Linked DNA regions of Caenorhabditis elegans. The protein of the gene in region 2 interacts with the protein of the main gene of each other region in a pairwise test. Each region holds a gene or a part of one and is shown on either strand. Other genes may lie near its edges. The genes, in order: R02F11.1, Y65B4A.7, idpp-5 and Y69H2.3.

The links.
Region 1: the proteins of Y65B4A.7 (region 2) and R02F11.1 interact in a two-hybrid assay, tested with the Caenorhabditis elegans proteins (one large-scale study listed by BioGRID).
Region 3: the proteins of Y65B4A.7 (region 2) and idpp-5 interact in a two-hybrid assay, tested with the Caenorhabditis elegans proteins (one large-scale study listed by BioGRID).
Region 4: the proteins of Y65B4A.7 (region 2) and Y69H2.3 interact in a two-hybrid assay, tested with the Caenorhabditis elegans proteins (one large-scale study listed by BioGRID).

Annotation. Positions count from the first base shown.
Region 1 is NC_003283.11:4,797,870-4,805,036, reverse strand, and holds R02F11.1 (CC domain-containing protein), read right to left. Parts: upstream 3,944-7,167; 5' UTR 3,890-3,943; coding exon 3,808-3,889; intron 3,764-3,807; coding exon 3,596-3,763; intron 2,908-3,595; coding exon 2,627-2,907; 3' UTR 2,353-2,626; downstream 1-2,352. Other genes in the region: R02F11.3 (Cation efflux protein cytoplasmic domain-containing protein), read left to right, coding at 598-985, 1,352-1,770, 1,956-2,117.
Region 2 is NC_003279.8:643,159-649,982, reverse strand, and holds Y65B4A.7 (LIM zinc-binding domain-containing protein), read left to right. Parts: upstream 1-2,740; 5' UTR 2,741-2,757; coding exon 2,758-2,862; intron 2,863-2,912; coding exon 2,913-2,978; intron 2,979-3,998; coding exon 3,999-4,200; intron 4,201-4,246; coding exon 4,247-4,344; 3' UTR 4,345-4,357; downstream 4,358-6,824. Other genes in the region: Y65B4A.2 (Peptidase C1A papain C-terminal domain-containing protein), read right to left, coding at 235-390, 979-1,271, 1,909-2,176, 4,416-4,532.
Region 3 is NC_003284.9:3,788,012-3,796,655, forward strand, and holds idpp-5 (Activated in Blocked Unfolded protein response), read right to left. Parts: upstream 4,805-8,644; 5' UTR 4,796-4,804; coding exon 4,742-4,795; intron 4,692-4,741; coding exon 4,560-4,691; intron 4,512-4,559; coding exon 4,455-4,511; intron 4,405-4,454; coding exon 4,339-4,404; intron 4,296-4,338; coding exon 4,176-4,295; intron 3,699-4,175; coding exon 3,442-3,698; intron 3,391-3,441; coding exon 3,309-3,390; intron 3,123-3,308; coding exon 2,997-3,122; intron 2,947-2,996; coding exon 2,752-2,946; intron 2,708-2,751; coding exon 2,584-2,707; intron 2,335-2,583; coding exon 2,250-2,334; intron 2,199-2,249; coding exon 1,994-2,198; intron 1,946-1,993; coding exon 1,874-1,945; 3' UTR 1,731-1,873; downstream 1-1,730. Other genes in the region: pmpl-1 (UPF0057 membrane protein F47B7.1), read left to right, coding at 21-74, 154-279; F35A5.5 (uncharacterized protein), read right to left, coding at 5,901-6,087, 6,141-6,214, 6,267-6,572, 7,290-7,358.
Region 4 is NC_003283.11:18,659,100-18,667,145, forward strand, and holds the start of Y69H2.3 (Follistatin-like domain-containing protein), read right to left. Parts: upstream 5,028-8,046; 5' UTR 4,998-5,027; coding exon 4,931-4,997; intron 4,889-4,930; coding exon 4,812-4,888; intron 4,763-4,811; coding exon 4,627-4,762; intron 3,713-4,626; coding exon 3,518-3,712; intron 3,452-3,517; coding exon 3,260-3,451; intron 3,215-3,259; coding exon 3,020-3,214; intron 2,613-3,019; coding exon 2,523-2,612; intron 2,079-2,522; coding exon 1,989-2,078; intron 1,882-1,988; coding exon of another isoform or gene 1,744-1,881; intron 1,694-1,743; coding exon of another isoform or gene 1,621-1,693; intron 1,566-1,620; coding exon of another isoform or gene 1,360-1,565; intron 1,209-1,359; coding exon of another isoform or gene 1,136-1,208; intron 1,092-1,135; coding exon of another isoform or gene 971-1,091; intron 722-970; coding exon of another isoform or gene 599-721; exon of another isoform or gene 488-598; intron 419-487; coding exon 365-418; intron 322-364; coding exon 237-321; intron 180-236; coding exon 60-179; intron 14-59; coding exon 1-13.

The DNA.
Region 1 (7,167 bases), on a different chromosome or scaffold from region 2:
AATTCATTGTTTCACTCCGGAGCATACTTGAGATATATATGTATGTATGTAATTCAAAAAATCAAAACCGACATTTAAAATTTCCGAAAAACTCCGAAATTTTGAGTTTACTTTTCATAAATTGATTATCAAAATATTGTTTTTTTTTGAATGTTTTTATCGGAAAGTTTCAAACTTTAACCCAAACTTTGAACATTTTCCACTTTTTGGAAATTTAAATACTTAAAAATTTCAATTCTACTCCAAAATCGGGCCTTTAAAATTTTCTAGAACTACCAAAAAAATGAATTTACTAAAATATCCAAATAGGAAATATTAAACAAATTTACAGTTGTCAGTGTTTTTTTTTCTTATAAAGCATCTTCTCCAGAATGTTTTAAATTTTTTTTTGGCAAACGGCAAATTGGCAAATCTGCAAATTGCTGTTCTTTCAAATTTCAGTAAACCGGCAATTTCCGAAATCCGGAGACCCTCAATTTGCCGATTTTTTTGCTAAAAACTTTTTTTAAACTAACGACACATTGTCAATTTCTAAACAATTAATCCAAATGTCTGTAATTTACTAAAACAAACAACTATTTTCTCTAAATATTTCAGAAACCAATGGAACGCACAGACACCGAAGAAAAATCAGTTGACGAGAAAAAAGACGACGAATCAAATACGGCCGCGAGAATGGCCAACATCACATTAGCAGTGAACTTCCTTCTGATGATTGCAAAAGTCGTCGCATCCGTTCTCTCAGGATCCATGTCGATCATTTCATCGATGGTTGATTCTGTGGTAGATATCACTTCAGGACTTGTCATTTCACTTTCAGAAAGAATGATCAAGAAAAGGGATCCTTATCTGTATCCGAGAGGAAGGACCAGGTTGGAGCCATTGTCCTTGATTTTGATCAGTGTGATCATGGGAATGGCGTCGATTCAATTGATCATTGCGTCGGTGAGAGGAATTCATGATGGAATTCAATTCCATCTTTATGGTAAGAAATGCTGAATTGAATTTTGCATGGAAAGACTCAAAATAGTCTGAAATTCTGATTAAAAACATTGTTTGAAATTGCTCCAAACCTAGGAGCCCTTCTAATTTTCGAACCAATCAGCGTCTTCGAACTCATTTTGTCTGATTGGTTGGAAACTGAGCTGATTAGTCTTGCGGTTCTCAGTTTTGGAGGAAATCTTCAATATATTCGCCCACAAAGTGATGAACTTATAAAATTTTTAAAAAAGTGAATTCAAAGTTTTCCTACAGGATGTACTAGCTCTACCTCTGATCCTTCCCTGATCCTTCAATCTATGCTCCCCTCCCTCAGCAATGGATTTTAAGTTACAATCCTAAAAATTTCCAGGAATCGGTGAAGAACCCAAGCTCAACGTCACCATCACCTCTGTAGTCATCATGGTGTCAACAGTTCTCGTCAAGCTGTCCCTCTACCTATTCTGTAAACGATACAAGGAACCATCGGTCAACGTGCTCGCAATGGACCATCGCAACGATTGCATCTCCAACACGGTCGCCCTGATCTGTGCCTGGCTCGGCACCAAGTACTCGTACTACTTTGACCCAGCCGGTGCTATTGTGGTTTCTATGTACATTTTGTATACCTGGGTGCAAACTGGACGGGAGCATTTGGCAAAGCTGTCGGGTAAAACTGCAGAGCCAGAGTTCATTAATAGGATCATCAAAGTCTGCTTGGATCATGATGCTCGGATTTCACATATTGATACGGTTTATGTGTACCATTTTGGAAGCAAGTTTTTAGTTGAGGTAAGAATATTTTTTCTCTGGATTCTTCAAGCCTAAGCCTGAACCTAAGCCTGAGCCTAAGCCCAAGCCTAAGCCTAGGCCTAAACCTACACCTAGGCCTAACATAAGCCCGTATCGCACATTTCTGAAGAGGCTGAGCTTACAACTGAATTATTGTGCTACTCTAAAATCTGTAATATTTCCAGGTGCACATTGTGCTCGACGAGAATATGATCCTCAAAGAATCCCATGACATCAGTGAGACCCTCCAATCAAACATCGAAAGCTTGCCGGAAGTTGAACGTGCATTTGTTCATACAGACTATGATTATGATCATCATCCTCACGACGAGCATAAAATTGTTTGAATTAGTTATTATTAGAGCACATTTGCATTATGATTTTGTTTTTTTCTTCTTCCCAGTGCCCCCCTACTTTAAGTTTTATTTCATATTTTTCCGGTTTCATGACAGAAATCATCAGCATCTCTCAATGTTTTTTTTTCGCATAATTAACTATACTTTTTTTTGTTTGAAATTTTGAAAATTTTGATTTGCAAACTATAATATTTTTTCTCACATATCGTCGTAGAGTGTCAAATGTTTCTTTTTTTATTTCATTAATTAAAATAAAATAATAAATAAACAAATTAAATTTAAAAACAATTCAAATATTTTTTTGGGATTTCGTTTGTTGTTGATGTTGTTGTCTTGGTGGTGGGAACGATTCGTTTCAAATAGATTAGAATAATTTAAAAGGAGCAGAGAGTCAGAGAACGGAGAAGGAAAGTACAATATATTAAAAAAATATATAAAAATATAGAAAGACTGGGGGCAATTTGTCGCATGAAAAAAGGGAAAAATTGAATTCCATTTTTTTACTTTCCACTGCTCAAATAGCACAAGTTTCCAGCTCCACAGGTGTATCCAGTTGGGCAGACTCCGTTGACACATGATCCGAGGACTCCTCCGGATCCGAGTGGGCAACAGTAGTTGTTGGTGTTGCACATGAATCCGGTTGGGCAGACCTGGTTTACACATGGTCCCGTGCTGTTTCCGGATTGGCATCTGCAGCAGTAGTTGTTGCTCGAGCAGAAGAATCCTTGTCCGCAGAGTCCTCCGAGGCAGGCGGCGACGGCTGGTCCTCCGGAGCAGGCGGCTGAAATTTTTGTTGGAATTAGACGACTTTCCACACCCATATTTGAACTCGTTCTGATACGAGCTAAAGATAGAAAAAGATAGGTTCGTGCGTGTTGTCCAAACCGCGCCGACTTCGTGAGACACAGAGCACAGCAGCACGCACCGAGCAAACGCAAACACCCCGCGAAACTTCGCAAATATTTTGTATTTATGTTGAGCCGTATAAGAAGGTGTCTCCATCACCGCAAAAGGGACTAAGCAGCGTCTCCCCGGGAGTTGTAGCAATCATTAGGTAATCAGTGTGTGTGTTTGCTCGAACCGGAAGGGAACGGCGGGGACACTTGAGAAATTGGAACGGTGACTGGATTCTTGATATCTCTTGATATGATTTTGATAAGGTTTGAGGTTTGAACTAAGGGAGATCTAAATTTTAAAGGTGTCAGCATTCAACTTTTATCTCATATTCCTTACTAAAGGGTTAAAGGACGATGCGTTACTTAAGCGATATGAACGGATCTGGGTACACTGAACCTAGGGAAGCCAGGACTTGAACTCGTGACCTCTAGATTGCTAATTATCAATACTACCGACTGAGCTATCCCCGCTCCTAGTTTTTAATAATTGCGACGTTTTCTTTAACATCTCTGATTTATGAAAAAAAGCAATTTTTCAACTTCCTACACAACCTTCATATTAAAAAAACTTACTATCAAGGTTATTGTTTCCTGGGCAACAGCATCCTTGGACACAGACAGATGCGACAGAATATCTCTGGCACTGGGACGAGGAACTGCATGAGGAATAGCAATTGGATGGGCATCCAAACTGCCTCTTCTGACGGAATACTGTGGAGTTGGCTTCACGAATTTCTGGAGCTGAAAGTCGGATTTTAGGAGTTGAAGAGTGAGTGACAACATACCTTCTTTCGCGTCTTCTGCGTTCAGTACCCAGAAGCAGGCGAGGGGGAGGATAATGCAGAAGGAGATGGCGAGTTGCTTCATAATGAGTTATTTGAAGGTTTTAAGACAAGTAGGAACACCTGACCCTGCGCTGGCCTGAAATTTTAATAATAATAATAATATTATATCAGGAAACTAATAAAGATTCAGATAAATAATAAAGAGTAATATGTAAGTAAAACTGTAAAATTAGTAGGTAGAGTAAGGTAACTCAAAAATAAATCTGAAGATTTGTTCTCAAGGAGAAGCCCGATGGAGCAGCAAGACTAAATGGTCATTTGTACGTAACAGTGAGGAGAGAGGGGAGGGGACACTAACTGACCGTCTTCTCTTTTTCGTCTCCCTCCGACTTTCTGTGTTAGCTTAGACTCTGGCGCCTCCGCGCGGCGACGTGCTCTTTGCGCGCGGCACGAAACTCTCTCATTTCCCCCATCGGGCTCAGTCCAGTCTATGTGTTTGTAAAATGAAGTGGACGATTGATGTTCAAATACTTGAGTGACCCCACACACACACACACACATACACCAAAAGATTGTGAGCGCGCGCTTGTCAAAATGTCGTTCAACTTATCTTATCACGGTTGAAGCATATATAGAAACTTTCCAATTATATTCGGATTGCTAAGGTTTTTATGAAAAGCCCGGAGTCTGTGGTCAATGGAAAACATATAGCTTTCTAATAGTAAGAGCCTTTTGCTTCTTTAAATTTTTGCAATGCTTGATACTTAAATAGTAGTTAGGATGTTAGTTGATAGTTTTTTTAATGCTACAAGAAAAATTAGAATAGTTGAAAAAATGATTCCTACCGTATTTAGCATATTGGACATGAAACTCATTGATCTACTTAAGCGGCGTTTACTGTCTAACTGTAGATAAATATTTTGCACGTGTTTTGTCAGTTAATGACAGTTTTTTGATAGAACCGAAGGGAACAGAGATATAACAAAATAGAGCAAGGGTTGCATGTCTAATAGGGAAACTACGGTGTCTAGAAAATCTTAAAAACAGAGAACAGAGCAAAATCTGTTCCTGATGTGTGAGTAGCCGATTTGCCATCGGAAGAAAATTTGACTCTAAAGTGTCGGAGCACTGTGCTCTTTATACTCGGTGCACTCGAGTGGCAGCGGTGGCGTCAGAGAGACAGCGAGAGCTGCCGGGCCAACTGACCGGCAGGTAAGAGTATCCGGTTTTGGGATGCAACACACGCGGGTGGTGTAGACCACGGCCGGAGACGGGAAGCCATCATCCTTGAAGAGGCAACTTCTCAGAGAGAAAGTGAGCACATAATACACCTCCATTATGAGAGCACAACTCTCTTTTTTTCCCAACACTCGTCCAAACGCGGTTTAAAAAAAACACGTGGAATATGCTTTGTGACGTCTGGGAATTATTGGAACAAGAAACATGGAAGTCATGCGAGAGTCTTCGAACAACTTAAGATGTACGCATAATGTCTCAGTGGAGACATCGCGATCGAGGTCCGGACACAATGAACCAGTGGTGGCCGCCAGCAATCTAGAGGTCACCAGTTCAAGTCCTACCTCCCACTAGGTCCATCCAGCCTTAAGTGGGAAGTAGAGCAATCCACGACTGGACTATTGGTCACAGTCCCCGGCTCGAACAAGGCTTAAATTGGAGCTGGACTGCTGTGTCTGACCTTTAGATACGCAGAAAAAGCTCAGTTTTAATTGCCGTACATATTCCAGAGTTGTGTCTGTTTTGAGCTTGTTCTGCATATGGGACGCCGAGGCATCAAAGTGCCTACCTACGGCAAATTAGCCGTGCTCAACAAACTCCAAAAAATTAATACTCATTGATGCTTTTTGGAGCACCAAAACTACTGAATTCTGAACAATCACCTGGATTCCGAATAAGTTCCGTGTAGTATGTTTGCTTATGCATCTAAATAACTCAATTTTGTAATTTTTTGGCGAAAAAATCAATAGTTTTAGTCAAAATTGTACTGTCAAATTTTTGACGTGTGCGACAAATTTTGAAATTTGCCGAGCTCGGCAAATTTGGCAAATCTACTTTTTTGAAATTTCCCGTGCTCGGCAAATTCGGCAAATTCGGTAAATTTGCCGCACACCCCTGGTAGGCACGCAGGTAAACAGGATAATCTACAGTTTCATTTTTTTAATTGCGATTTCAAACTATTTCTCTACAAGTATGTATAATAGGGAAAATATGGCAGTTCGGACATTTTAAACGATTTTTTTTGCCTGGAAATTGGGAGGATTTCTTTCCTCAGGTAATTTGCGATATGTCTATCAGGAACTTCAACTTTTCTACCCACTCGAACAAGTTTTATTTTTAGTGTTCCTGGATAAACATTGAACATCTGGAGAGCAGTGAAGTTCCGACTTTGTCCCAAAATAGTAGAAGCACGCTCCTCTCCCTACACTCTTATCCTATATCCCTTATCACTGTTCGATTTTTCGAAAAATTTCAACATTCCGATTGTGTCGACAGGCTTGTACTACCAAGCTCTGCATACAAACTTTTGAGAGAGAGAGAGAGAGAGAGAGAGAGAGAGTGCACATAAATGTTTCTCTGCGCACAAATTTCGGACAGTCCACTCTTTTCCCCCCGCCCGTCCATTTATCAGTGATAAACTCTCGGGAATTTTGTATGTGTGCTCAAGTGATCCTGCTTCTCTAAAGGGCGACTCTCTCTCGCATGTCTCCCCAGTCGTTCAGAGCAAACACGGATCATCATCATTATCATCCTCATCATCATCAGCCAACTTCTGCGAAAGAATGAGCCTCACCCGAGTGTTTTGCATGAGATCCGATGATTCCGTTGCCGCCGCCGAAATGCCATTCTTTGACCGACGCTGCCGCCCGCCGCAGCAAACATTTTGGTTATGATTCGATGAATGCGGGGAAAAGTGTACACATAAAGAAATTACAAAAGGGAATCCGGAAATTTTCTTCCACGGAAATGAGGAAAAAGCTCATTTGTATAAGTTACACGATTTTTTTGTAAGGTTTTTGTTAGAACAAGTGCCGGTGTGCAGACTAGAGTCTTGGACTTTTTGAGCCCGATAACTTCAACCGGCTAGTTAGACATTTTTAAAGTTTTGATAACCAGCAATCAGTCAATATTTAACCTCAAAAAAAACATTAGTCACATAGAATGCATTTAACGCATTTCTGAAAAAATTATTTGAAAGAGAAATTTTTAATTTGGTCAGTGCGAAAAATTTAGCTACAGAAGAGCACTTTGAACTAGAAAAAGGTCGATATGATATTTTTTCATTGAAATTTTTCACTAATTAATAGACACCTAAAACTGGTTCAAGTAAAACAATAATTTATT
Region 2 (6,824 bases):
ATCCGAAAAATCGATAATTATCGGAAAAATCAATAATTTCCGAATAAATCGATCATTAACGGAAAAAATCGATAATTTTCGAAAAAATTGTCAATTTCCGAAAAAATCGATATTTTCCGAGAAAAAAATTGATAATTATTTACCGGAAAAAATCGATAATTTCCAAAAAGTTTGCCATTTTTGAATAGATCCCAGAAATTTTTCTCTATTTTTCTAAAAAAAAATATCTCTAACCAAAATGTTTATCCTCCTCATATTTCTGCTGGTAATAGATATTCTGACACCTCTTCATACATGTTCGCTTCTCCTCGGCCTCAAAGAACGTGGCCGGCGAGCACGGGACTCCACACGACAGGTCAAACGAGTAGGGACGGCAACCGTCACGGCCACCTGGAAATAGAGATGGCCTAGGTTTTCGAAAAACTCTTCCACGGGCTTAGAAGAATCGTTATTGTTTGGAAAAATCGATAATTTGCAAAAAATCGATAATTTGCAAAAAATCGATAAATTGCAAAAAAAAAATCGATAAATTGCAAAAGTTGATAATTTCTAGAAAATTCGTTCAAATTTTTGGGGAAAGCTTATTTTCAAAAAAGTCGATAATTTGCAGGGAAAATCGATAAATTTCAAAAAATCGATAAATTGCAAAAATCGATACTTTTGAGAAAAAAGTCGATAATTTTTTTTAGAAAAATCGAAAATTTTCTAGAAAAATCGTTAATTTTCTAGAAAAATCAATAATTTTCTAGAAAAATCGATAATTTTCTAGAAAAATCGATAGTTTGCGGGAAAAATCGATAGCTTGCAAAAATCGATAAATTGCAAAAATCTTCTAGAAAATTCGTTCAAAATTTGGAACAAGTTAATTTTCAGAAAAATCGATAATTTTTTTTAGAAATTATTACAAATTGCGTGATATAAAATTCAATCACATTGTAGATCAAAGGTTCCTAGGCCACCTATGACGTCACCGCTTACCTGTAACAAGTCCCTGATTAACCCAATAGGTCAAGGCCTTCAGTGGATCTCCGCCGTAACAATTTCCGCACACCGAGCAGCATCCAATAATATCCTCCTCGGACAAAAGTGACTTAAAAGTTCCATTCGAGTGAATACAGGCACGGTCGGAGGCGACACCGGCGGCGGCGACCGCGAAGCAACTCCCGCATCCTCCCTGATTTGGAACATTCGAGATTGACGGGCAATTCGGCCATTTCTGACGAGCGTCGAAGTTTTTCGGAACATCGGAGCTGTTAAAGTTCTCAAGTTCACTGCAAAATTGCAATTTTTGGGATGATGCACCATGTTTTGTCGAAATAATTCAGAACCCAATGCACCAGATCTTACGCGCAAAATTTCAAATTTTTAGGTTTTGAACGCAGCCCGGCAAAGGGTACATAAGTGTAAATGCGCTCTACCGAACCGTGTGGAAGTCATCATTCACGCGCCTCTGGCTTCACTCATATTTTGAAATGGAAGATTTTGCCGAACTAGGCCACTTGAGCTCGGCCACGGCCGGGGTAGATTTACGGCGCGTTGCGGCCGGGGTAGATTTACGGCGCGTAGCTCGGCTTTAAGGCCGGAAGCCCGTGGAGTTTACGAAGCATCAGATATTAAGCGCAAAATTCTTTCCTGGTGTTTTACGAACATTTTGCTGTCTTTTTAAAATTGTACCCAAAACTTTTTAAAACTTCTGGAAAAATCCAATTATTCAGAAGTTTTGTTTAAAAAATCGATAATTTTTAAAAGGAAAATATAGATTTTTCTCGAAATTTGGTAATTTCTGCATTTGCGTGTAAAATATGATGCATTGCAGGACTATCGTATGCATCACAGCTTACGCGCTAAACTACATGCGGCGAGAGCGCGGAGCATCGTTGTTTCCCGCTCAAATTTGAGTTAACTCACTCCAAATGCCGCTTCATCGCATCAGACTCGAAAAATTTTCGAATTTGTTCCACGTATTCCTCGACCGCCGTCTGATTTCTCGTATATTTGAATCCGTAAGATCGATTTTTGACACCAAACTTATTGAATTTGGCTTTCCACGTGGTCTCCGGCGAGTCATTGACTTGACGAACGAGTTTTCGCAAATATTCATCATTATCCCGTTTATCATTTGCATCTGTCACATATCGACGGTAGAGGTAGAAGCTACCGTATACCAGACCGAGAACTGAAAATTCAAAAAATTTGGGTCTCGCCGCGAAAAAACGTGGCGAAGTTTGCACATGGTGCATCGACAGCAAAAATCGATAATCTCTTGAGAAAATCGATAAATCATGACAAAAATCAATAAACGTTGATTTTTCAAATAATAAATTTGGATAAAAATCGATAAGTCTTTTAAAAAATCGATAAGATCGAGGGAAAATCGATAAATTTCAACTACCGATTTTTTTAAATTGCGCGTTTGATTATACACGGATTTATGGCTTCCCTCATATGGAAGAGTTTGCCGAACTAGGCCATTTTGGCTCGGCCATATCTGGGGTAAATTTACGGCGCGTTGCGTGTCGCGTCGCGGCTCGATTTTAGTTGTAAAACTAAATGTATTTATCCGTGTGGAGTGCACGACTTTCCCACGTGTTGTCCGGAAGGCGATTGTCAATGGAGCGCGAAAAGTTCAATGAGGAAGACCAGAACCCCGTGATTATAAAATCAATAAAATTTTGAAAAATCAATACGTTTTCCCACGTTTCTCTTCAATTTTCTCCTTTTTAAATTTTTAAATTAATCATTTCAAAAATTCGAAAAATGTTGTTCTCGTCGAACAATAAACGTCTCCAAAAGATTGTTCTTCCATATAATATCCATTGCAAAGGCTGCACAACAACGCTGACTCGTCAAGAAGCTCAAACTGTGAGCACATTTTTGGAAATATATTCAATTGAAAATATCGATTTTTGCAGGGAAAAGTGATCAAAATTCAAGACGAGATGTATCATATTTCATGCCTGAAATGCTCGGTTTGTCAGGTAAAACATTGCAATAATCGATAATTTTAGCGAAAATCGAAAAATTCGATAAATTCTTAGTGAAAATCGATATTTTCTGATTCGCTAAAATTCGATAAATTTTTAATCAATTCATTCGATAAATTCTTACAAAAAGCGATAATTTATTTTTGCGAAATTTAATAATTTTTTTTCAAAATTAATTTTATAACATGTGACACACGTTTCTGGCTTCCCTCATATTTTGAAATGTAAGAATTTGCCGAATTAAGCCATTTTGACTCGGCCACGGCCGGAGTAGATTTACGGCGCGTTGCGTGTCGCGTCGCGGCTCGGTTTTCATTTTAAGTTGTCCGTGTGGAGTACACACACACACACTCCCCTGCTTTAAGGCGATTGTCAATGGAGCGCGAAAAATGCAATAAGGAAGGCCAGAAGCCTATGTAATTTGTTTTTGCAAAAAGCATTCCTCATTGAATTTTTCGCGCTCCATTGACAATCGCCCGCCGGACAACGCGCGGGAAAGTCGTGCACTCCACACGGACACGGGGTTCTGGCCTTCCTAATTAAATTTTTGCGCTCCACTGACAATTGCCTGCCGGACAGCGCGTGGAAAAGTGTTGTGTACGCCACACGGACAAATACAGCAGTTTTACAATTGAAAACGAGCCGCGACGCGACACGCAACGCGCCGTAAATCTACACAAAATCTCTCCGACCCAAAATGGCCTAGTTCGGCAAACTCTGCCATTTCGATTTATGAGGGAAGCCAGAATTCCATGCACGGACAAATACATTTAGTTTTACTACAAAAACCGAGCCGCGACGCGACACGCAACGCACCGTAAATCTACCCCAGATATGGCCGAGCCAAAATGGCCTAGTTTGGCAAACTCTTCCATTTCAATTTATGAGGAAGACAGAAATCCGTGAAAATCAATAATGTTTTTTTTTTTTTGCGAAATAAATATGTCGATTATTGATTTTTCCTTATTTCATTAAATTCCGTCAAAAAATCAATAAATTTCTCCAAAATTCCAGACAGTCATTGGCATGACTCCGTGTTATCCAATGCCCGCGCCGTACGGTAACGCGCTCCGTTGCGCGGACTGTCACCGGGCGGCCAAGTCACCAAAATGCCACGCGTGCAAATTGCCGACTTTTGAGAGATGCGTGTCGGCGTTCAATGTCCACTGGCATATGGCATGTTTCAAGTGTAAAGCGTGTCGCCACCCGATTAAAGGTCAGTGTATGCAAATGTGCTCCACCGAACGAAACCTATTTTTCAGGTCAAGAGTACGTGGTTCACCAGGGATGTGCCTACGATGAGGATTGCTATCACCATACCATTCAGAAAATCGATATGGAAAATGATCCGGCGAAATAAATTTTGCAATTTTCAATATTTCGATTATCGATTTTTTTCTTGGTCTCGGAGTGTCGTAGTTTTTTACTTACCTGCCAACAAGAGTAATATCACGCTAGCAATTGTGGCGGCGACCTGCGCCAGCCGTTTCCGCCGACTTCTCGTCTCAAATGTGGTCCGTGTCTGCTCTTTGTCGGTTGGGTACATTTCTGCAAAAAAGGTGCCATTAAGTGGGCGGAGTTTAACAGTCTAACTTTGCCGAGTGTCGTAGTTACAGTTTAGGTGCCGAACCAGAAAAATTGAAAATTAAACAAGAGACTACACGGGCTAAGATTATCAATAGGGCGCTTTGCAATTTGATCTACAAAAAATGCGGGAATTTTTGCCCCCAGAAAAACGTGACGCCAGCACACTCTTAACCATGCAAAATCAGTTGAAAAGTCTGCACCTCTTCTCCCGCATTTCTCGGAGATCAAACCAAAATGGGACACTTTGACACCACGTGCACGCAGACTACACGGGCGAGGATTATCAATAGGGCGCGTTTGCAAACTTATATTCAAAATTATTGTGGTGATTATGCTTTTGCACATACGGCGTAAAATGAGGAAATCCTCTGAGCAGAAGGACAATATCAATGGCAAAACAAACAAAATTTGACACATTTTTGCTTCTCCCCCCTGTCCCCGCCCGGAACAAAATACGCCTTAGCAGCAGCACAAATGTGCACACGAAAACATGAGCACAAACACCGGAACACTGCGCGGCTGACCAATTGACCAGAGACAAAAAGCTCAACGTTCAAAATTTTTGAGTGAAATTTCGATATTTAACAAGAGGACACCCCATTACGGTATGATCTACAAAATATGCGGGAATTTTTTGCCCAAAAACATGTGACGGCAGCACGTGCGTAACCAAGCGAAATCAGTTGAGAACTCTGCGTCTCTTCTCCCGCATTTTTTGTAGATCAACGTATTCAAGCCAAAATGAGACACTCTGATACCACGTGAGAGGAGAAGGGCATGGGAAACCTAGATGGAAGAGAAGTGACGTCACATGGTGGCCTAGGAAATCAAAGTGCGGTAGGTGGAAGAGAAGTGACGTCATTTGACCTAGTGGTCGAGCATGGAAGAGGGATGGCGTCACCTGGCCTAGGAAATTTGACGGCCAAGCCTAGATTAGAGGGCCTAGAAATGCTCATTCCAAGGCTTGGAAGAGGTGTGACGTCACTGATGACCTAAGAATTTTAGTGGCCAATTCGGGTATGAAATGGCGTCATTAACATCGATGGCCTAGAATATTTCTCGGCCAAACTTACCAGTGGTCTTGGAATTTTTGGGACTAGGAATGGAAGAGGAATGACGCAAACACATGTCCTAGAATATTTCTCGGTCCAGTATGGTGAAGAAATGACGCAACTGATATTGATGGCCTAGAAAATTTGGCGGCCACGCTTTTTAGTTACTGTTTGTCATAAGTTACAATCTCAACAAACTTAAAAAGAATTGCCAAAAATTTTCAAAAAGTGAAAAAGATCGAAAATCTCAGCATAATTACAGTAGGGATTAAGCATGAGACGCAAGAAACGGCAAACTACGGACAGAATTTTATGAAAGTTTTTGGCGGCTTTTTCATGTTGTTCAGTTGCGATTTTTTTTGGACAAATAAAAACTCGCTAAATTTCGAGATAATCGTAGAAGTAGGGCTTGCATGTAGGCATTGCCTGCCTGACATTAAGGCGGCCTGCCTCTTGCCCAGCGTGAGGCCGGCAGGTTTCAGGCAACCACGCCTGCCTACCTATCAACTGAAACAATGATCAACGGTCGAATCTGGTGGTCTGATTTGATACCTCTTTGTGCAACAAAAGAATTTATTCAATAAATATTTTGAAACGTTTTTAAAATTTGCACAGATTTGTTGGAGCACTTTCAAGAAATACAGAACAAATTTTCTGGAAGAGTTTTTCAAATTTCTAGGCCACGAGGCACCTCTAGATGGCCTAGAAATGTCAAAATCTGGTTTTTATGTATTTTTGAAAGGGGAAGAAATATTTGTTGGTTGTACGGTCCCAAAAGTCTGTTCTGGCTACGTGGCCGCGAAAAGAGAAAACTAGGCCATCAATTTTTTCCGCGGCCACGTCATAACTTTGCTCAAATCATCTTCATTTACTATAATTTTTGCGGGGAATTTCAAAAAATTATCAGAAAAAGTTTTGCCGGGAATTCAAATTTTCTTAGAAAATGTTTTGGCAGGAATTCAAACTTTCTGAAAAAAATATTTTCAAATTTTCTCACTGAAAATATGTTCTTCCAATTTTCTCAGGAAAAAATGGTTGGCGGGAATTTAAATTTTATCAGAAAAAGTTTTGGCGGAAATTCAAATTTTCTGAGAATATGTTTTGGCGGGGATTCCAATAATCCTGCTATTAGAAAATACTTTAGCGCGAGTTCGAAATTTTTTCAAAAAAAATCTTGGCGGGAATTCAAATTTGCTTAGAA
Region 3 (8,644 bases), on a different chromosome or scaffold from region 2:
TTCAAATGTTTCAGAACACCATGGCCATCGAAATGCAACAAATCATCGAGTTGATCCTTGCGATCTTCCTTCCAGTAAGTAGTTTTCAACCGTAGCATTATTTGAAATTTCAACAACTCAATGCAAAACTCAACAAAAATTGCTGATTTCCAGCCACTCGCCATCTTCATCCACGGAAACGACTGCAACATGCACGTCGCTGTGAACATCATCCTGTGCTTCTTCTTCTTCGTGCCAGCCGTCATCCACGCTCTCTGGTACTGCTTCTTCAGAGCTTAGATCAATCGCCCCTCGCGAAGATCACTGCCATGCCGATAATCAACGCACCAAAAAAAAATCACATGCATATTGTATCTGCGCCCGCATTCACCATTTTTCAAAGTTGCCTTAAGTTACAATTTTTCTCCCCTCGAATTTTATGAATGGCGTTTTTTTCATTGCTTCTGTTTTCCTATGATTCTTGTTAAAATTGAAAACTGTTCAAAATAAACAACAATAAATAAATAAAAAATCAATCGATACAAAGTTGTTTATTGCATTGTTTGAGGGAGATATGTCTCGAAGTATTTTCACCGAGAAATGGCCCGCGAGACAACTTACAACGCGTATATATGTGTGTGTGTGTGCCCACTTCATGCGAAAATAGTGCAGCAATCACCAGAGACGCACTCGGGGAGGGCCGATTTTCGAAAAATGAACAATAAAACTGCCCCGTGGTGGCTGATCGCTGTTGTGTACGTTACGTGTATGTGAAGGTCGACAACATCTTCCCTTTTTCGTGTTGACTAACATGACCGGGGTCGAGTAAAATAGTGTACAGGTACATACGCCCAATGTTTTGAGATTAGAGTATTGTTGTGAGAAGGGTGAATTGTCTCTCATCGTGACTTTAGTACTTTACAAAAAAACGTTACTTGCGATAAGTTACCTTCAAAAGTAGATCGCATTCCTTCATGTCAGAAAATTATAAATTTGTTTTAAGAATGTATTAAGACCATTTTTCATAAAGTAGCAAACTTTTTAATTTCATATTAGACCCAGAACGGCGCCACAGTGTAATGAGACCTTTGAAAAACTTCTGAAAAAATTATTTTGGGGCTCAAAACATTGGGAAAAAAGCTACATTTGCAAAATTACCTGAAATCTCAAATGTTGCCAAATTTGTCAGTCTCACAGCGGTTAGAAGAAAACTAGCAATTTTGTGCTTCTATTGACTAAAAAAAGTGTTTTAAATGTGGAGTACTGCCAGTAAGAAAGGTGTTTAAAACAATTTTTATGGTGTTAAAATGACCAATTTTTATAATAAAACATTTAAAAATAAATTAGAAATTAGTTTTATTTCGGGTCAAAAAGCGGTGAAACTCACTATTTCCGACTCAAAAGAAACACATTATATTTGGTTTTTTGGCATCACATTAATCGTTTTAACGATTTCCCCACTTCACCTTCAATTAATCAAAAACTACGAAAAACCATTCAAACACGGAATCTATATTTTGGCAGTTAAAACCTATAGGATAAGAGTTTTCTCCAAATAATTTGAAACGCCATTGAAGTTTTCCGACAAATTCTCAAAAGCTCTCATTGAAAATTTGCTACTTCATTTCTAAAATAAAACATTTTGTATGACAAAATTATATTTTGAATACCCAATAGTTTATCATCATGTTTCAATTTCAAAATTATTATTCCAGATAAACAAATTTGAAAGTCACATGAAATTTAATAAATTAAAAAAATGAATATTTATTTAGTTTTAATCTTATTATTCAAATAGTCTCTAACTACCAGCACGATTGATTGCTTTTTGATATACGTACATAAGAAAAACCAATCAGTATAAATTATAAATGGAAACATTTCCGCCCCTCCTCTAAGCCTTTGCGTACGAGTCGCCGTCCATTTGAGTGTCAGAGAATGCAGACAATGTTTTTCCGCTGTTTTTCTTCAAAAAATAATTATAAAGTAGCCTATTAAATTGACAGAATAATACCTCTTCCGAACTAGTCGAGTTTGACTTTGAGGTCTTTGGTGAGTCTCTCATTGGCTCTGTGTAACTGCCGCCAGCACTATTATTATCTTCATCATCCTCGTCGTTGTTGTTATTTGGACCGTTGTTGTGACCGTTATTGCCATTATTGTTAGAGTTTGTCGTCGAGCCACTCAACTTGCGAAACTTTGCAGCCATATTCTTGTACCTAAAAAGTTGAGGAGATCGGTACTTGAAAATGTATTGGAAATTGCATTACTTCAAACAGCAGAGGTTTTGTGAGCATTGCACATATCCTGGCTGGCATTGGCAAGGAACTCCGCAAGCTACAACTACTTCGGCATCTGAAACTCTGATTTCTAGATCTAACCCAAAAAAGGACCCGCGTTAGAAATATTAATGAAAATTGGTGTTATTATACAATTTTTGAATTATTGTGAGTTCTGAAAAGTAATAAATATGTTATTTGGAAAGTTCATCCCCTGTTTCGGCATGCTTGACACCCTTGGGTAGGAGGAGGAGGGAGAGGTTGAGGCATCCGTTGCTCTGCAAATATCATGCAACTCCTGAACCCTAACCCTACACATTCTTACGCTGTTGTACACAAGTCGGCTGGCACAGCGGCATACAAGCCGGTGCACATTGAATCGGGCCAGCCGCATAATTCTGAACACATGTTGGACTACAAGCAGGCATACAGGTTTGGACGCATGACAGCTGGAATAGCTTTTTTTGGTTTTTTGGGGTTAGCTTTTTTGTACCCTAGCAATGCAGCTACTCTCGCATAGAGGCATACACTGAGCTGCACATGGCGTTGGAGCCATTTGAACGGCGTATTGCTGAATGCAGTTCATGTCACAACTCGGATAGCATTGCTGTGGACACATTGATTGGACACAGGAAGACGTGCAAGATGGCATACATGCTGGAAGACACTGAGACACTGGTCGGGATACCTAAATTGCTACTACTACTGAGAAATTCTTTGTTTTAAATTTTCTGGCACCTGAAGATTGGTGACACACGCATTTGTACACATTGGTCTACACTGTTGGGGGCACAATGAATATTGCTGTACACAAGATGGGGAGCATGATGGCATACACATTGAGTCACATCTTGGGGCCGGGGGCTGCAATTTTTGGCATTTTTCAATTTTTGAATTTCGATCTGTATCATATCATTTTCTATATTTTCCCATCACCCCCAAACAACCAAACCACTTTAAATGTGAGTCATGCCAATTCAATTTTCTTTACGATGGCCAATAATTTCGCAAGATCGAAACATGTTTTAGAATTGACTGGTTTTTGCTTACTGGTAGGGGAACCGATATTTGAATCTGTTGAATGCAGGTTGGGAGGCATCTTGGCATACACTGTGGAATGCAGTTCGCTTGCCTGAACAAGAAAACAATGACTGTTGAGAAACCTTTTCAAAAATTGACATACGAGCAGATAGATGGGCAATTATTGGTACAGGTACTGCATGTGACTGCTTGAACGCAAGCCGATGAGCATGCTGGCATACATGCTGGAACACAAGTCTCTTGCTCGACGGTAATTTCGTATTTCTGGATGCATGATTGGGAGCAGGAAGGCATGCACGATGAAGCACAAGTTGGACGTTGAATTGCTACTTGGATTGACTGGATACATTGTGGAGTGCACACCGGTTGACATTGTTGAGGACAGCTCGGGAATACTTGCTAAAATTAAAAAATAATAATATTGCGATATTTGGAACGGGGATGCCACAAAACCTAAAAACCCAAGTATTCACAAATTCATCAGAAAAACTGGGCAAAATGAGATTTCCAAAAACTGTCAATTAGAAAATATGTGGGTTTGATGTTGTGAAACTAGTTCTAGGAATGTACCTTTTTATTTCAGTACAATTACCCAATTAGATATGCATAGAAATTAATATAAAACTACAGTATATTCCCTATTAGTATGGTCCCTCCTCACTCGACTTTGACCCTTTATATCTCGCTTGTCTTCGATCATATTCAAAAATTCAAACGGGAAAATCTTTTTCGAATCTATCGTTATGCTCTGGTTTTTGAAAATATCAAAAATCTTCTGAAACCGCTAAAATATAAGCCGACAAAGTCGATTGGTGGGGGGGGGGGCCAAACTAATAGGGAATATACGGTATCTATTATCAAAACACTAATATTCACCTGAATACAATTTGATGAGCATGATGGCATGCACTGTGGAGCACACTCCGTCGGTCCTTGGATGGCGTTAATACAAGCTGGGAGACATAATGGCATACACTGCTGGTCACAAGATGGTCCCTATAATATCTTTTTTAGAGTATACTTTGACTAGAAATGATACCGATCTAACTAAATTTATACATGCTGAATCGCATTTTGGCATACATTGATCCACACAAACTGAGGTCTAAAACAAAGAAAACACATATGTGCGATTGGAGGAAAATAACTAAAAACCTTAGCCATAACACAAGCTTGCGTGCACATTGGTTGACACCGATCGGGACAAGTGACCTTTAAAATAACAAAATAGACGGTGAAAGTTGTATTGTGAGAACTCACGAATCCGCTGCACGAACCGCATCCACAGTTACCTGAAGGGCACATTGCACAACATTGTCTTTTTGAACGGACCCTTGTGATGAGAGATCCATTCATTTTCAGATATGGTGAAGTCAGAGCGGATGTTGAGAACTGCAAAATTAAATTTTTCTGGAAGGTATTATTTTTTGAAAAAAATATACCTCATCTCCAAGAGACAATTGAAACACTGCAAAAGCAGCGATAAGATATTGCATTTTTACACTCTGAAAATTTTAAAGTCTTAGATTATCGCTAAACGGATAGTAATAAGGAATGAAAGGAATACAAAAATGTCCGGCACGGTGGTCAGTTCCCCGCTATTTGTACCCATATATTTATAGAGATTGACACCTGCATTGTGCCCGGCGGCCGCGGCCACTTTTTGTGAACTCGCGCCCATCAAACACCATTTCATTTCATTGCCAAACACTGGATCGCATACCGATATCCGGAAATCGCCCGGTCATTATGCTCAATTTTTCAAGTGGTCTCGCAGATGGGAGGCGGATTTTGACACTTTTTGGCTGCCATTCTCATGGTTTTTTGATTTTTTTGAAACATTTTTCATCGGGCTCTATTGATATAGTTAAGGGGAAGGAATATTCAGGGACAAGTGAAAAGACCAATGGAAGATTGAATTTATGAAAAACTGGCCGAATAAGTGGAACATTCGACACGTTAAATGATTGCTCAAATTGGCCAAATCATTTTTGAATCGGCATATTTTAATATTGTGTGACTTAAAAATTGACATTCCAATGCTTCAAGGTTTCAACTATCTCTGGTGGTCATCAACTTTTGGTCTAAAAAATAAATGGAGGGTGTCATCAGAACTCAAAAAATACTCAAAACTCGCATTTTTTCAAGCATGACTCGGGTAATAACTCATTTCTCTACAGAATAAATTTATTAAAATGACATAAAACATTTGCAGTATATTATGAAGTGTTCATTAAAAGAAAACAGAACAGTAGGTCCTGGCCGGGATCGAACCGGCGATCTTCTGCGTGTAAAGCAGACGTGATAACCACTACACCACAGGACCACATGCCTTGCACATAGACGGGCAGTGGTTTTCATCGGAAACAGAGAAGAACGGAACGTGTTTATTTTGTAGGTTACCAGTTGCTGAAATTTCTGACAGAAAGTTGGCACAGTGCTGCCAAGATTTTGCCAAGATCACTTAAGATTGCAGCTTGTCAAAAATAGCTAATCGTGAATATGATATAGAATGTGTGTATGCATTGTAAAATAAGTTTTCAGATATTTTAATATTTTATTAATCGTGATCGTATTGAAAGATTTCCTAAATTTTTCTTATTAGTCTCGAACAACCATATCAATTTGTTTTCTCCTGATTGCCACGGCATTATTCTTCACAAGTGTAGCTCTCTTTCTCCGTCCATAACCAAAACTATTACAACCACAAGATGATCCTCCTCCTCCTCCATAGCATCCTCCGGATGAATAACCAGAACTGTAACCACCGCCTCCGTATCCACAACCTCTACAAAATGAAAAACCACACTTAGCAAATATAGTAGTTGCAATTCAACGTACCCTCTCATACAAACCGACATACAAACCGGCATGCAGCAACTACAGCAATTGCTCTGCACGGGAACTGGTACTGGCTGCAAATTGAATTTTAACGCTTAAACTTTTGAGTTTTCAAACACAACATACCACTGGCATAGGCATCGGCATCGGCATAGGCATAGGCATCGGTACAGGCACTGGTTGCGGAACAGGTGCAGGTACTGGGACCGGGGCAGGAATCGGAATTGGGATCGGTGGTGGCATCGGTGGTGGAATCGGCATCTGACAGCAAATCATCGTGCTCACACAGCATCCCCCACCTCCGAAACCAAAACCTCCACCAAAACCTCCTCCAAATCCCCCGCCAAATCCAAAACCTCCAAATTGGCGTTTTGCTCGGATATGAGCATCCTCTAGGTTTGCCAGAGCAGTTGTTGTAGCATTTTTCTTAATCTAAAGAAATAAAATTGAGATTGTTAAAGAAGGTGTAACGGTTTCTATAATTTTTCAAGCATTTTTTATGGCAGTGTAAAATTTCAAAAAAAGAGTCCAATTTATACTAGTATCTCCAATTTTGACCTTTTCCGTCTCGTACGGGTCCGAAGTTGAGTTTTTTGAATTATCGTCATTCATTGCATATTTTGATCGTTCATATTACGTTTTTTCGTTGGTTGAGGTACATTTAAGACCGATCGGTAACCAATTTTAATAATTTTTGGTTACATACAGTTTTTGGTTACATATTTTAATCAACAAAATAACGTGAGATAAATGATGAAAATATGCAATGAAGGATGATAACTTTGATATAAATTATTAGCTTATATTTTCAAACGACTCATAACTGTTAGTAAAATTTAAACATTTTTTCAAAGTTTTCAATCATCAAAGTTTTCAACCCATGTCAAATACAAACTTTAACGTGAAGTACAATGTTCAAATTTTGATCCCTTTGTGCAAACACCTAGTACACGATAAGAAAAAGTCAAAACCTTCACGCATCCACTCTAAAAAAAACAAGCGTGCAACTAGTCTTGGCGACTACAGTCATGACAAGATATATCGGCTTGAGAATCAACAATTGTAAAGGCTCTTGATTAGATGTGAGAAACTCGTTGATGTTCAACGATCAAACAAACATCTACTATCTAATAACTGAAAAAGTCTTACCTCTGTACTTAAGCATTGGCTGAAAATTGAATACAATACTATATAAGCTCCAGTGTTCAGACGAAACATGTGTGGAAAGTATATTAATTGTAACTAGCGCAGACCGTTTTATATTCGGGTCAGTTTCAATGTTTGCGTTTGGGTTCCGTGACAAGATGGACCGGACTATATCCAGAATGCTTAGTCATAATAGTTCGTTTCGTGAATTCTGAAGTGTAAGGAGAAAGTTTCTGTAAGAAATTCAATACAAACTAAATTCGAATTAAATGAATATGTTTTTGCTTCTTTTCTTTTTTTAAATTAAAAAGAATTTTCTTTAATTCAATTATATGAGCTTGTTTTCAGCGGGATGTTCAATATTTGCAGCAATATTTGTTGCAAGATTTGTGTATGCGAATGTGCACAAAGAGCAAAAAATCAAAGGTTCTATTTGATTACACACACTTGAAGATTGGACTACACTCATTTGCTGCTCATCTTTGATTATCAACCCCCCCCCCCCACAAAAAATTCTTGACTCATTGTTACTTATTTAATTTTTTGCTCGGCCTGGTGGTAGTTCAAATAAACGAAGCGGAGCACAATACGGGAATCCAGAATTGTATCGCGTGCAACTGTATACTTTTGAGTTGAATTGGGAGAAGGTGGAAAAAATGTCGCAGACTATATTTTGGCAACTCTGGCGGAGAAAAAGAGCTCGGATAAAGATCATATAGCAAAATGGTGCTTGTGAACTTTGAACCAAATCCTGATGGAACGCTGGGAGACACTTTTTGGAAACACTACAATTGGCACATACTGATATGATTTCATGATTAAAAAATTGTTATGACAGTTTAAAAGTTGGAAATATATGACTAGATATATTATATTTTGCCAATTTATTTATGCAAAAATGGTCACAAGTTAATTTTTTTTTTAATAAATAGAAACCGTGTACTCCACTGACAATCAGGCAAAAAAAAAACAGTTTCTGGAAATAATAGAAGATTTTGTTATACTTTTGTAATAAAGTTACACGCACTAGTGGACAAAAATGAAGACTACAGCAAACTTCAGTCATTTTTTTTTTATTTTTGAAAACATTTTGAAAAATTTCAAAAAGTTTCTTACAAAATCTTTTCATCTTGTGAAAAGGCTTGCAGCTACACCGTAGATCCATATTTAAAAATAACAGAAGGTTTTGTTTTATAGAGAAACCATTCACAATAAATACTAATACCTTGATGTTAATTATGAAAAAGTCAGAACTCCATGTTTCTTACGTGAAAAAAAACACTGAAAAAAACATTGTTGACCATTTTCAGAAAATAAAATTTAATGGAAACATACTTTTAGTGAATGAGTATTTAATG
Region 4 (8,046 bases), on a different chromosome or scaffold from region 2:
CGCGTGGCTTGGGCTGGAAATTTGCTGGATTTTCAGGCAAAGCTAGCTTAAAGGGTTACCACGGAGCCTTGGCACACTTGACGAGGGCTTCCTGGCAGGTGGTTCCTGCGGAGCATCTCATAGTGGCGCAACCGCCGACTGGGACCTCTGTAGTGTTCACACAGACTCCTTGGAAACCGCTGAAAATGCAAAAATTATGAGAGTTTCAAAAAAAAAATTCTAGCTCTCAAGCTCACCACGGGGGCTCTGTGCAATTTTTCTGCACTTCCATGCATTCGGTGCCAGCGGAGCATTTCATCGTGGAGCATGGGGTGATTTGGACTAAAAATTTAAAATTCTTGGGCTAAAATTCCTAAAAACTCACTGTTAATGTCAGAGCCATTGCCTGGGAACAGTGGGGACGGGGTGTCCGAATAATCTGAAAATTTTCAGACTTTTTCAGCCTGAAATTTCAAAAGTTCTCAACAAAAAAATCAACAAAAAGATAGTGAAAATATAAATTTTTTATTAGACTGGAATGTTCAACCAAAGAATAGAAACAGAAAAAAATATCGATTTTTACAGAAAATCCCCCGGAAAATATTTAAATTTTCAAATTTTAGTAAAGCTTTGGCTTCTGGGCGTCACAATCGTTTTGGGTGACACATTTGCCGGAATTGTCGCGGAAAAAGCCCTCCTGGCAGACACAGCCGCCGCCGGTGCACACCTGGGGGCAGAATCTCTGGAAATTTTCGGTTGTAGGTTGGAAATCCAAAATTTTTGAGTTAGGCAAGCTGAGAGCTTTCGAAAAAGTATAATTATGACTGGATTTTGAGCCCCTTGAAAAAATTGGAAAATTGCGAAAACAAAATTTCCAAAAACAATTTTTTTTGCAGAACCTAGTCATGTTTATACTTATTTGAAAGCTTCTGATTCGTTGATTTCAAAAAATTTTTCAAAAACTAATTTTGCTCAAATCCCGCCCACTTACCGGCTCTTCATTACACTTGGTGTCTGAGCAGACAGTCTTGCAGGGTTCAAACTTCTCATTTGATCTGCACCGTCTGTTGATTGGCTTTTTGATAGGAGCTTCACATTGTGCAATCGGGTCGCTGAAACAATAATTTAGTGGAAAGAAGCGGGGAATTTGATCTACCATGGTTGCGTGAAGCATTGAACCTGGTGGAGGACACATTGGGATCCGACGAGGCAGGACGTGGAGGCGCAAGCTGGAAATTTTACGGATTTTCTAGCGTCGGACACTTCCAAGGTATCTATATTCAGATGCTTCAAGGATAGAGAAAGCAGCCGACACATCGCAGGTCCGCAGGACCATGTTAAGTTGCAGCGCCCGACATATCGTGGCTCTCAGTCACCTACCATTCACATGAATACACATCGGCATGAGCTCACAACCCTTCTCCACAGTTGAACCAATACATCCACTTGGCCTGACCATAGCGCACCCGGCCGGGGTCCCACAACGGGCCGTCATACAGCTTGGCCCGGCCTGACGGCGCTCACGGGGCTGGATAAGAGGCTTGATGAGTCTCAAGTCCTTTGGACGGCATGTTGGGATTGGGTTACTGAAATTGAAACTTTTTTTCTGCAACAAAAAAAAATTCCGGACTAAAGCCCTACCATGGAGCCCGGATACACGTGACCTGGACTAAAACGCATTCCTCGTTGTAGGGACAGTTCTGGGCGCGGCAATCTGAAAATTTCGACGATTTTAACTGAATTTTTTTCTGCCTAAAAACTCACAGTCCTCCTCCAAACACTGTGGCTGACGCTTGCAACCCACGCATCCGACGGGCTCAACCATTCCACAACCTCCCTTGAATCCGCATCTGACGTTGGCGCACGTGATCCCGGTTGGTGGGGTCTCTGGCGCGGTTCTCACTTTAATTTTTTGGGTGTTAGAAAACTCAAGGATAGGAATAAAAGTACTGAAAATCTAGCCGAATTCAACAGAAAGTTCCCGATTTCCCCAAATCCTAAAGCGATACCTGGTACACAAGTCGGCTTGCCAGTTGACATGGAGCATTGGTGACCGGTACGGCAGTCCACCAAGTTGCATGGGTTCTCGTCAGTGCTGCCTGGAAACAATTTATATGTTAGAGTCGGAAAATTCGTATATTTTGAGTCGCAGGGTATGCACCAGGATTGCGTCAAGTCATTACGTCGTTGCATCATGATTTTGGCATGAAAACAAGCTAAAATCCCGATTTTTGCGTCAAAAACAACCCCAAACCTTCAAAATTGATTCAAAAATGTGCCGAAAGTTGGCAGATTTGTTGAAACTCGCACGTTAAACCAAAATGTGTGCCAAAAAAACGTTTTCGTCAAAAAACTGCCAAAAAGTATGTCAAAAGCCAATATCCCCATAAAATTGGTCCAAAACTGTCCCAAAATGTGAAAATCGTTCCGAAAATCCACAAATTTGTCAAAATTCCATCCAAGTCCATTTCAGGACACCAAATTCTCAGAATTTTAGCAAAGAACCGCACCAAACCAGCGCCCGCGGACAGAAAAAATGATACCTGGCACACAAGTTGCCTGGCCAGTTGACATGGTGCATCGGTGACCGGGCTTGCAGAGTACCAAGGCACATGGGTTTGTGTCAGTCTTGCCTGGAAACCACATTTGTAGGGGAAAATCAAAAAATTCTGCTCAAAACTGCCCCAAAATAGGAAAATTGCTCCGGATTTGTCGAAAAAAGGGGTCAAGTCGTTTTTTGCACCGAAATTTTGGTCCAAAAACTAAAACTTTTGTTGAAAGGCCTAGATTTACATCAATTTTGATGCAAACCTGCTCATAATCGCAAAATTGTTCTAAAAATCAACAGCGGAGTCAAAAATGCCGCAAAAATTCGTTTCAAGACACCAAACTTGCTAAAACTCTCTAAAACTGAGCTCAGCTCAATTTTCTTAGATATTTTCATCAAAACTTTGCCAGAAGCCTATTTAACATGACTTTTTGCCCGAAAATTCACTCGAGACCCCTAAAGCCACTAGAACTAGGCTTCAGCCCTACTAACCAGTCGGTGGGCACTCTGCAAGCTTCACACACTGTCCCTGCCGGTTCCTAACGAGTCCCTTCTTGCAAGAGCATGCTTTTTCGCACCTCATCATGCACCTAACAAATGGCTGTGGATTGACAGGACATTTTGCCTCGGAGCACGAATTGTGACAGTCATTGGGCTCCTCATTCTTGGAGCAAGTCAGTGTGGAGCCTAGAATCACTGGCTCTAACTAGTTTCCTTTAAAACGGTACCCACCAGTAGCCGGACACTCGGTAGGGTTCACACACTGTCCCTGGCGGTTCCGGAGGAATCCCTTTTTGCAGGAACATCCGATGTCGCATTTCTCCATACAGTTTACCAGTGGCTGGGGCTTAACCGGACACTTTTTCTCGAAGCACGCGTTGTGACACTGGTTGGGCTCCTCGTTGGTTCCGCAGGTTTGAGAGCCTGGAAAGTTGCAGTGCGGTGGCGCAATTCTGGTGCATTTTTTCGTCCAATTTTTAGAGTACTTACCAATCGCTGGGCACTCGGCCTCCTTGACACACACTCCTTGGTTGTTTCTGACGAATCCGTCCATGCAGGAGCATCCGACTTGGCAGGCCATCAAGCAGTTCACCTGTGGAGCATTCTTTTGTGGGCACTTCTTCTCGGTGCATGGGTTGTGGCACTCGTTGGATACCTCGTTGACTGGGCATGTGAGGTTGGTGGCTGGAAATTGGTGGGGGGTTAGAGGGGTTTGGGGTCGGGGGTCTTGGTTTGGAGGCTTTAGGATGCCTGGTAGGTTTGTGCTTGGCACCCTTGAAGTCTGGCGCTGGTACCCACGATCTGGGCTCGGTACCCCAAGCTCTGAGCTTGGTACCCATGAACTCTGGGCCTGTGACCCATTAACTCTGGGCTTGTTACCCTTGAAGTCTGGCACTGGTACCCACGATCTGGGCTCGGTACCGTGGAGCTCTGGGCTTGTTACCGTGGAGCTCAAGGCTTGGTATTCTTTAACTCTGGGTCCGGCAGTCCCCGAGCTCTGGGCCAGGTACCCACGAAATCTGGGCCTGGAACCCATGAACTCTGTGGCTGGGGACCCTGAACTGTGGAGCTGGTATCCCTGAACTCTGGGCTGGGGACCTCTGAACTTTGGGCCTGGCACCCCTGAACTCTGGGCCTAAGATCCATGAACTCTGGGGGCTGGTACCTGGGTCTAGATACCCGTTTCGAACTCCGGGCCAGTGTCTGTAGGGCCTGAGATGCCTTAGAGAATGGGCCTTGTCAGGAAGATCTGATTTTCAAGCGGACCCCGCGCTCCAAAACATCAGATTCCAGGACTCCGTGTGCAGCCCGGCCCAAAATTTAGTCTTTCGGTATCCCCAAAATTTGGGGCAGGTACCCCCGAACTCTGGGCCTGGGACCCTTGAACTCTGGGCTTGGCGCCCACAAAGTCAGGAGGCTGATACCCCCAAGCTCTGGGTCTAGATACCCGTTTCGAACTCCGGGCCATTGTCTGTAGGGCCAGTGCGGCCTTAGAGATTGGGCCTTGTCTGGAAACTCTGATGTACTAGCGGACCCAAAATTTCAGATTCCGAGACTGCGTAGCCCGGCCCAAATTTTAGTCTGTGTCCCCTTCTAACCTGGTGGTGGAATTGGAATCGTCTCATTCGCCGCAACATTGCAGTCCTTCTGCTCAACACAACGATTATCCGAAGTTCTGCGGAAGAATCCACTGTTACACTGACATCCCATGACGCATTGCAGTGTGCAAAAAGTCTGCAAAAACCACGTTGTAAGCCGGAATTTGACAACAAAATCTGCTCACCGGAGTCGGAAGCCCGCAAGTCGGCTCGCAAGCCGTGCCACACGTCTGGAAGCTCTCGTTTTCTTTGCATTCTTGGTCTGAAAGGGGTTTAGGTACACTTTTAGGTTGGAAAAACTTACCTCTTGTCGCTGAAAGTTGAGCGTTTGCTCCGATGAGCAGAACGCTGAGCAGCACAATATACTGCATCGCTCCGAAACTCGGAAACTCTGGAAAACTATAAAATCACGCCATTTTATAGCATTTTTATGCGAACCAAAACATAAAGTTTCAGGAAAAACATTATAATAAAAAAACCAGAAAATCGAGAAATCAGACATCAAAAGTGCGGAAAACATTATGTTTTGAGAGAGAAAAGGAGAAAGTAAACAAAAAAAAATGTCTGTGTTTTGATGATTTTTGGGGTCAAAAGATTGGAAATTTTGCAGAAATTGCTGGGAAAAAATGGGGAGTTTAAAGAAAAACAACATTCGAAGTTACAGAAAACTTGAAAACAATATGCAAATATTGCAAAAAAACATGGAATTTTCGGGAAAAAACTATTGTTCAAAGTAAATATTTTTTGATATGTTTTCAAGTTTAAATATGTAGTTTGAACTGTTTTTTCCAAAAAAAAATTATAGAAAAAATCTATGAATTTCAGACAATTTTACATAGGAAAAATCAACTTTTCAGATATTTTTACATAGGAAATTGGAAATTTACGGCATTTTTTATATAGACAAATCAAATTTTGAGACATTATTTTACAGGAAACTCAAAATTTCAAATATTTTTACACTGAAAATTCGAAATTTCAGGAATTTTTACATAGGAAATTCAGAATTTCTGCCATTTTTCTACTGGAAAATCACTTTTTTCAGAAATTTTTTATATAAAAAAATTCAAAATTTGAGACATGTTTCGACTGAAAAATGTATTTTTCCGGTATTTTGAACTGTGAAATTCAGGATTTCGGCCACTTTTAAATGAATAAATGGAAATTTTAGACATTTTTACATAGAAAATTTGAAAGTTCAAACGTTTTTTTTACAGGAAAATCAATTTTCTAGACATTTTTAAACATGAAATCTGAAACTTCAAGAATTTTTTATATAGGAAGTTCAAATTTTTTACGTTTTTGTACTAAAAAATTCAAAATTTCCGGCATTTTCTGCTAGAAAATCAATTTTTCAGATATTTTCACATGAGAAATTCAATATTTCAGATTTCTATACAAAAAATTTGAAATTTAGGACATTTTATACTGGAAAATCATATTTTTAGGATATTTTTTCATAACAGTTTGAAATTTCATGCATTTTTACATAGAAAATTTGAAATTTCTGCCATTTTTCTACTGGAATATCACTTTTTCAAACATTTTTACATAAGAAATGTGAAATGTTTAGAGATTTTTATATAGGAAATTCGAAATTTCAGAAATTTTTTACATATAAAAATCGATTTTTCAGACGTTTTTCTACAGGAAAATCAGTTTTTCAGATATTTTTGTATAGGAAATTTGAAATTTCTGCAAGTTTTTGAAAATCATTTGAGAACTCTGCGTCTAAATTCCCGCAATTCTTGTAGATCTGGGGGGTAGATCAAACCGAAATGGGACAGCATGGGCAGTTTCACTACAAACTACAAACTACACTTGAGTACTAAAATTATACGACTAAATGACGAGACAAAATCAATATTTCGAACCAACAAAAAAATAAACGAAAATCTAACGAAATTCACAAAGTTGTAGTGGATTTTTGGATTAAATGAACACGCGCGAGTTGACTAGAAAAAACGGAAATTGAAGGGTTAATCCCCCAACCCGCCAAATCTTTTATTTTTTGATCTCCCACACATTTTTTACACGTTTTTTTTTGTAAATGATGTGTGGAGATTGGGATTTGTAGGGGGGTTTGGCGGGAAAATTGAATTTTCTGATAGAAAATTTGAGAAAAATGTAAAATTTTCGAGAAAATGGGGTTTTGGGACTACTTTTGGAGAAAAAACCGGCAAAAAAACTGAAAATTTGGCGGTTTTTGGCAGAATTTATTGTTTTTTGGATGTTTCGGGTTATAGGAAATGAAAAGTTCAATAGAAAAACTGAAATTTCTGACATTTTGCAATTAGAAAATTAAAATTTCAGACGTTTTTACATTGGTAATTGGAAATTTCAGACATTTTTGAATAGGAAAATTCTAATTTCAACCATTTTTATGAAGGAATTTTTAAATTTTTCTACAAAATTTTCGTTTGAAATCGACTATTTTTTGCCAAATTTAGCACTTTTTGAAGGTCAAAAACTCGATTTTCTCATCAAATTTTCTATGATTTTATATATTTAGAAGCGTAAATATTTGCACTGTGTCACCATTTGTTTATATGATTTCATGTGAAAAAGCTGGCTGAAATCAAAGATGAAAAGCTGATTAAATAAACATTTTCTGCAAGAAATTTGGGATTTTTGATGTTAATTTTGAAAAATATTGTATTGGCGGGGTTTGGCTCTTTTTGTGGTGAGACCCTTGGAAAATGTTTTGGCGGGAAATTCAAACTTTCTGAGAAATAATACTTTGGTGGGAAATTCAATTTTTCTGAAAAAAAAAATTTTTGGTGAAAATTTTTTTTGGCGGAAAATTCAAATTTTCTGAGAAAATTTTTTTTGGCGGAAATTCAAATTTTTGGAGAAAAATAATTTGGCGGAAAATTCAAATTTTCTGAGAAAAATTTTTTTGGCGGAAATTCAAATTTTTGGAGAAAATATTTTTGGCGGGAAATTCAAAATGGATTGTTTCTAGAGGGAGTTGGTCAGTCGGAGTAAAAAGGAAAATATGCAGTTTGGACAGTTTTCAAATAGAATTCTAAAATTTCAGACATTTTTAAATTGGAATTTAGAAAAAGCTGAGTTTTTTACACTAGAAACCTGTAATTCACTTTATTTTTTTTCGTTTATTTTATTTAGATTTTTTCAATTTTCATTTCCTATGTTTTCCAGGAATTTCAAAAATTTTCTAGAAGGAAATTTGGAATTTCCTGCTTTTTTATAAAGTTAGTTCAAATTTACAGACATTTTAGATAGGAAATTAGAAAATTTTGACATTTTTCAATAGGAAATAAGAAATTTCAATAAATTTACGTAGGATAATTACGTAGGAAATTTAAATTTCCAGACTTTTTAATATGAAAAAATTACGATAAAAACTTCAGATATTTTACATAGTAAATTTAAAATTTTGGAAACTTTAACACAGGA